Stegostoma tigrinum: one gene and its partner. The protein of the gene in region 1 purifies or fractionates together with the protein of each later gene. This does not show direct contact. Links are inferred from orthologs where the notes say so. Each region holds a gene or a part of one and is shown in the gene's direction. Other genes may lie near its edges.

Region 1 (3,926 bases):
AACAGGTGTAAGAAATCTGTCAGCACAGCTGAATGCTCATGGCGTAGGTTGGTTGGATGAGAGGATAATGAGGAATGGATGGGCTTAAGACATGAGTGCATTACATCTTTTATAACACTACTGAGATAAAGAAATGAGGTAGGCTTTCTGAAAAAAAAACAGCCTGCCATCATGGCCAGCAAGCTTCTTAGGTCAGTAGGTACTGGTCTATCTCATCTTTCCAGATACCCCACCAGAGTATTGATCGTGAGATTTAAGCTCCTTTCTAATGAGACAAATCAGTTAATTCGGAAATCCCCCAATTCAGCTACCCATTTTAGCAGAGAAAATTTAGTCCTAAAATGTCAATTTATTTAAGTATGGCTAGGATTTTTTTGCTTCTTAGACAATCCTTTAACCAAGGCCCCATCTGCACCATCAAAGGAATTTTTAAAAAATCATATGGTACATCAAGGATGTGGAAAGTTTTATGGGGAGGAGCAGGTAGATAGAGTTGAAGCCTCAATAAGATCAATCATGGTCTCCTGAATAGCAGGAAAGAACTAATTGGCTAAATGGCCTACTGTGTTCCTGCTTTTTTTTGTACATACACAAGTGCTATCACATGCAACTTTCCCATCACCAAAATCACTGATTTTTTTTTCCCCTTTTTTAACCACCACCAGTAAATCATTTGGGTAGCCAATTAAATATTTAAATATAAAGCCTATGAAGGGCAATGCAAAACATCAAAAGTGAACAGGGGGTTACGGTGAGAGGGAAGAAGCCAAAAAAAGTCAATGGATTTGTGCATATGTTTGTCATGATCACTATTAGAATCAGTGCGTGTAAGGTGACCTAGCTCATATTTGTCCTTCAACCAATATCTCCAATTATCTGGTTATCTACTTTTCTGCTGTTTGTGGGGTCTAGCCTGTGCAAATTGTCTGATGCTAATAACTGCGTGTCAGATATGTTTTGCGCAAAATACTACTGGTGCAATAAATCTGAAACAAACATAGAAAATGCCAGAGGCATCGTCTGAATTCTGAAGACTTATGCTGGACTCGAAACATTAACTTTTGCTTCTAGCTGCACACATGCTGCCAGGCTTGCTGAGTTTCTCCAGCATTTTCGGTGATCATTCAAAACGTATTTTTGGCTGTAGGGTACAAGATCCTGCAAGAGACCGTAATAAAGCGTTTTCTTTTTCTTAAGCATTCCCAACTTAAGGTCAGAACGGCATGGAACAATCAAATGTATTGGGTTTTTTTTCTATGGATTACTAGAACATTTCTGACACTGCTCTGAACCTCCCGATTTTAAACCAGGACTTGAAGCACCCAGGTCATTCATGGCTTACAGATTTTATTTTGAAAAAGAGTACGAGACAAGGGATCAGTTGTATTTTTCGTGACTGCAGCGGGGAGTTTACCACAATGCCCGCCAACCTCGCACAAAACTATCTTTCAAGATAAATGCAAAAAATATTTTCCGATACAAAATTATCAAGCCAGGTTGTCGAAACCCGCGGTGTTTTCACAACATTTAACCCCTTATTCACAACATGCGGAAACAAATTTTTCTGTCCGATTTTCCGTGCGTGCGTGTGGGATGGGAGTTCGTTCGTGAGTAGGGAGCCGGGTCTTGGTTAGAGTCTTCCCCCCGACATGGGAAACCGAGCCGGAGAAAGATATGAGACAAGTGCAGAGCTGGAAGAACACAGCAGGCCAAGCAGCATCAGAAGAGCAGGATGGCTGAAGTTTCTGGCCTAGACCCTTCTTCAGAAAATTTATCTCTGAGAAAGATAATATTCCTCCAGATGTAGACGGGCTGCCGGGGCGGAGAACCGTACCACGATGCAGACGGGTGCGCGCAAGGGTTGATCGGTCCTTCCTCTTCGCCTTTGGAGGTTTTTTTCCGGTGGGTTACCTCCCGGAATTGTGCCTGATTGAATGCGGTTACTTTGTTGTCGGTCGCAGTACAGTACGTGATTGGGCATTGAGCTGGAGAGAGGCAGAATGTAGCGGCTTCTCCCCAGGTAACGGGTGGTTTCTCCCAGATGTCTGCCCGAAACAGAAAGTCAGACTCGGCGACATTGTTGCCACATCACTGCCGGGTTGGATAATTACAAAGCAGCAGTTTCCCGTCCCCCCTGACATCGCATCCGGGAAAGCCACCTAACGGGACGTGATTTAATTAATTTTACGCAGAATCTCTCTCTTTCAGTCTGCTCCCGTTAATCGGCCTCTGGTGCCTTTGTTTGATATTCAATGCGCAGTGCCTTCAGCCTCCGATATGAAACTACTCGCTCTCCACCACCACTGACTGAGAGCAGCGAAGATGACGACGGGCTGGTGACTGGTGATTTTTTTTTTTCTTTCTCTCTCTGGCCGAATTAATATCATACCTTGGGTAGTCAGCGTGCCCAGCGAGATGCAGATGTTTCTCAAACGACTCGAGAATAAAACGGGCTGGTATTCATTCGGCGACACGATGCAATGAACTCTTACTGGCATTGCTCGTGAACAGATACCCTTGGCCGAAATTTCTCGGAGAAAGATACTGTTTCTCTGAAACGTAGGAACCGCCGCCCACTTCTTCATTCACCTGTAATTGCGTTAAATTTAACCAGGATTGCCTTTAAACTGGAGACAAAGAAAATGAGGGAACACTCAATTATATAGGATACCGATTTTGAATTAATAATTTATTGCAGGGTATTTATGCTTATGGAACATCATTTGTAAAAGCGTTAATATAATACCGAGATTGGAAGTGACGCCGCCGACCTACGCCCTGAAATGCCTCCAGATAACGCCTGTCATTTTTTTTAAAAACCCTGAATAACTTACAGCCCAACATTAATGTGGGATGCAACGGCAGTGCACAGGAGCCTGTGTACATTTGGTGGCTTGCTTACAAGCACGGATTTTGATTGGCTTCCTGCTGGCCCGGTTGTTTGAAGCTTTGCTGCTGAAACTTTACCTATTTATCGATACAAACCAGCTAGCTTTTTAATTATTCTCCAGAACCCAAGGTCAAAGCCCACGTGAACTAAGTTTGTGACATTTCTCTTCATATTTAAACACATTGGCTGGTTGTTTTTTGTGTGTGTTTATTTTAGCTACTTCAGTGTTCAGTCAACTACATGCTGGAGAATGAAGGAGGTTTGTAGGATCTGTGCCCGGGAACTGTGTGGTAACCAACGACGATGGATCTTTCACACAGCTTCCAGACTAAACCTACAGGTTATCCTATCTCACGTACTGGAAAAAGAGGTATCTCGAGATGGCAAGGCAGAGTTTGCTTGCAGCAAATGTGCATTTATGTTAGACCGTATCTACAAATTTGATACAGTTATTGCAAGGATTGAGGCACTGTCCATTGAGCGTTTGCAGAAGTTACTCGTAGAGAAAGATCGTATCAAGTACTGCATAGCTAGTCTATATCGTAAAAATAATGAGGAGCCAAGTACTGACACCAAGGGGGAGGATGTTGCAGTGGGGAGCTCCAACCTACCTGATGTTCGGTATCATGCACTGCTACAGGATGACTTTGTATATTCTGGATTTGAATCATGGACAGAGCAAGGTGAGGAAGCCATGGAAACTCACAGTTGCCAGACTTCAGACACCTCAAGCTACAAATCCCGGAAGTGTCGCAGCTGTTCAGCCTTGCGTGTGACTGATGCAGATTATGAGGCAGTTTGCAGACTACCTCGCAAGTTGGCGAAGACTGTTTCTTCTGATCATTCCATTAAGTGTGGAAGTAGTGTGGTGGGCAGCACAACTGCTGAGGAAGGACTTGCAATGCCAGTCATATGTGAAACGGTGCCTGTTGGGCAGTGTGAGTCTAGGACTTCTGTCTATGCTGACTCACTGGATAAAATATCTCCAGCCTCTTCTGTTGAATCACTTGGTCCTACGGTGGAGTCTTGCTCTGGG
Region 2 (3,926 bases), on another chromosome or scaffold:
AGATAGAGGGAGATGAAAAGACTTTCCTGATGATGTCGTCATGCACAAATATCCAAGCAGGATCTTTTAGGGACAGAGACTGATGGTTAAAAATGGTAGATGATGGATCTCGAAGAGAAACTGTGTCATTGTTGAAGATCAGAGGCAAGGGATAATCCTTTTATTGGTATCTTGAAGGCAGTAATAACATAGAGTCGCAGTGGAAATGCAATTGTATGCGTGTGTGTGGTGTAAGAGTGGGAGGCAAAGATCTGAAGAAGATATAAATTTGTAACAATCGGTGAAATAATGGGTTTAAGTTGAACAATAGGTCTATACCTGAAGGGTTTTTGAAAGAGGATGCAAATATTTAGTTACATCCTAAGAAAATATCCTTGTATCATATAACAAAGACATTTTACATCAGAAGATTTGGGATTAGTTTAAGGATTGTAACTGAGAGAACTAAGCACTAACAGTGCAGAGGGAGATGGATTAGAGAAAGCAAGATGACTGGTACTTTTTTGAGCCATAAGATTGCAATTTTCCAATTAACACATCTGGATTCCCATCAACATGATGCAATATGGGAATCGAAAGGGTCATTTCCTGTTTGTCAAATGCTAAATTATAGTTCTCGCTGTTGGATCCTGATTGGATACTTTAAAGTTTCAACGAGCTGAAGTCATGCAGCTGCTGATTGGAAAGTATGATTTATTCCAGTGTGTGGGAAGGACAATTGAGCTGTGTGTGTGCCAACCAACTGCATGGAAAATTCTAGTGCCTGAATTTGGTATATCATCTGTTGTATTTTGTTATTATTCTAATGAGCACCAGAATGCCGTGCTAATCATCCTGAAATGTCAACAATGGCAGTGCAAGTTATACTGCAATCACAGTAATTACATGACAGATGTCGTACATGATTTCTGAAGAATTCTATGTGTCAAGTTTACTGGGTTTTATATTTATTCTATTCCTTGGTAAATGCCAAGTAACTTTTCAGGACATCACATCTTAGTGCTAAAATAAGTCTCATGCCATTGGAATGTTTCCTGAATGGGGTGAGTAGGTTCTGTGTTAATACTGACAAAGTGTATGAAACTGTCTTAATTGCTATCTTTCTTTGTAGTGAACCAAACAATGGTATGTGCGAGGCCTCAGAAAGGGGGTCTCTAAGGGGGTTAGGGATATGATACCCTGAAAACATTGAACAAATGAGAGACTGTAGCAAATGTCCTTCTGTATTTCAAGCAGATCCTTAATGAGTTCCCCCTGGGGAAGGGGGACTGTGGAAGAAAGTATGTGGGGCACTCTGGTTGGGTTTATATATGTTATTGGAACAGAAATCTTACTTGGAGTAAGGGCTCAAAGCTATTTTTAAACACTTATTCCATTTAACTCAATGTTATATGCAAAATTTAAATGGACATAAATTGTGAAGATCCGAACAAAATATTCACAAGTTGTTTCTAGGCTGTTTAATACAGGATTTCGATAGTGCTATGTTTCAGAATTGTTCAATTATACCAACATTAGGAAAGCATACATTTCTGATTGATTTTGTTCATTGAATGCTAGGTAAGCTTAACTGAAGGGCATATAAGGAAGTAATGGTAAATAGGCAAGACACAATATACTTTGACAAAGCCTATAACTTTTACACTCATGTCCTGTGTCTAGGAATCTGAATTTTGGATAAAATATCCAATGAACAGAAAAAGAATGCATCCTGATTTTTGTTTTTGGGGCATGAGTGTGAGGCCTACAAGTCAAGGAAACTCAAGCAGTCAGCATGAGTCTCAGAACTTTTATAACGTCATCACAAATTTAACATCGGGACAAATACCTCTGCAAAGAAGACTTGAGCCATTGTGCAGCTAAACTACCCTTTGTTATGCAACACAAGTGTCTCTTCATGTTTAGGATCTCTTCTGCTCTGTCTCACATGTCTGTTAACTTGTCTGGCCCTTAGACAAAGCACAGCAACAAGGATAGGGCTCTTGTGGTGCAGTGATAGTACACATATCTCTGAACCAGGAGTCCCAAATTTAAGTTCCAGCAATGTGTAACAACATCCTTGAACAAGATGATTGGGAAAATGTCTCGAAAAGAGGACTGCAGTCCCATGGAATCATTTATACCAACATTAGGAAAGCATATATTTTTCATTGTATTTGTTAATTAAGATTAAGTAGATTTGTGGATTTGCAGTCCAAGTAAGTTTTGTGACTTGGAGGAATCCGTGGGCCGTATATATTTAGATTGTAGTCGATTATAGAACCCTTTCTGTTTTTTTTAAAGAGCTGCTTCCAAGTTTTTGGTTTCAGTGGGAGTCTTCAGTGGGCAGAATCAAAGGGCCACATTTAGGTCTACATATTTGGTAAGATCAAAAGTGAGAATATAGAATTTTGCTTCTTTTAATTTAGGTAGTGGGATCACTAATTCAGTCCACTCTACTTGAAACTAGTTAAAATCATAATAATTGCTTCAATGAATAATGCTTTTAAATTGAAAATGTCCCAAGCCACTTCACAGTCATCTATGGAGAGAAAAAAATAAAGGTAACTTATCGAGTCAGTGACTCCATTCTGCTACAAGGTCAAAGAACTGAAATTCTGACTCCGTTTTTCTCAGTCCACAGATGCACAACACAAATCTTCAATTTGAGGCTTTAAGGACCAGAAGATGAAATAGGTCAGGACAGGAATGAATTAATTCTACATACAGTTGGATATTGGCAGGAAATTGGATGTGTTTAAGTGTTTGGTTAAAATAATAAATAAATATGTCTAGATATTTTTAATCAACACAATCCGACATGTTATTTATATTTATTCACGGGATGAGGGTGTTTCTGGCTAGGTTATTACTTATTACCCATCCTTAATTGCTCAGAGAGAGCAACTGGAAGTCTACCACATTGTTGATGGCCTGGAGTCATATGTGGACCATACCAGGTAAGTACAGCAGTTTCCTTCCGTAAAGGAACATTCGTGAACAAGTTGGGTTTTGTCCAGCAATGGTTTCATGTTCATTATTAGACTTTTAATTCCAGATTTTTATTCAATTCAAGCTCACTCCCTCCACTGTGGTAGGACTCAAGACTGCTCAGGACAATTTTGCATAAGCTCCTAATGGAGGCAGGCACCTGACTCATGATCACTTTAATTATCCCAAATTAGTTCATGATAATTGTACCTTTTGTTATTGTGCAATAAACAACACCTTGTTGAGCAACACAAGTGTCTCTTCATGTTAAGTATCTCTTCTGCTCTATCTGCACCTCTGTTAATTAGTTCGGCCCTTAGACTGAGCATAGCAACAAGGATACGGCTCTTGTGATGCAGTGATAGTACACATATCTGTGAGCCAAAAGGCCTAAATTTAAGTTCCAGTGATGTATGACAACATCCTTGAACTAGTTGAATGGGAAAATATCTTGAAAAGAGGACTGCAGTCCCACCTATTCATAGATTAAGTGGGTTTATGCATTTGCAGGCTACTTGTGATGTTTGAGACCTTGAGGAATCTGTGGGCCATATATATTTAGATTGCAATAGATTCTAGACACCTTCCTGTTTTCTAAGGAACTGCTTCCGAGTTTTTGTTTTCACAATGGCCCTACGTTCCTGTTCTTTGCAACCCTGGTTTGGGAGAGGCAGATAAATTGTAGGATCTCCCCCTGAAAATGCTCCTGAGTTAGCCAAGCCAGCTATTAACTGTGATAATGGGAACTGCAGATGCTGGAGAATCCAAGGTAATAAAATGTGAGGCTGGATGAACACAGCAGGCCCAGCAGCATCTCAGGAGCACAAAAGCTGATGTTTCAGGCCTAGACCCTTCATCAGAGAGCATCTGATGAAGGGTCTAGGCCCGAAACGTCAGCTTTTGTGCTCCTGAGGTGCTACTGGGCCTGCTGTGTTCATCCAGCCTCACATTTTATT

What was found.
Region 2: the proteins of pde4dip (region 1) and cAMP-dependent protein kinase type II-beta regulatory subunit purify together in Homo sapiens (affinity purification with mass spectrometry; 4 studies listed by BioGRID and IntAct, counting the BioPlex papers as one, with this or other methods). This does not show direct contact. The link is inferred for Stegostoma tigrinum from reciprocal best matches to the Homo sapiens genes PDE4DIP and PRKAR2B.

What each region holds. Positions count from the first base shown.
Region 1 is NC_081361.1:47,559,965-47,563,890, forward strand, and holds the start of pde4dip (myomegalin), read left to right. Parts: upstream 1-1,573; 5' UTR 1,574-3,140; coding exon 3,141-3,926. UniProt on the Homo sapiens protein: Functions as an anchor sequestering components of the cAMP-dependent pathway to Golgi and/or centrosomes.
Region 2 is NC_081378.1:35,348,082-35,352,007, reverse strand, and holds the start of cAMP-dependent protein kinase type II-beta regulatory subunit, read left to right. Parts: upstream 1-865; 5' UTR 866-1,043; intron 1,044-3,926. UniProt on the Homo sapiens protein: Regulatory subunit of the cAMP-dependent protein kinases involved in cAMP signaling in cells. Type II regulatory chains mediate membrane association by binding to anchoring proteins, including the MAP2 kinase.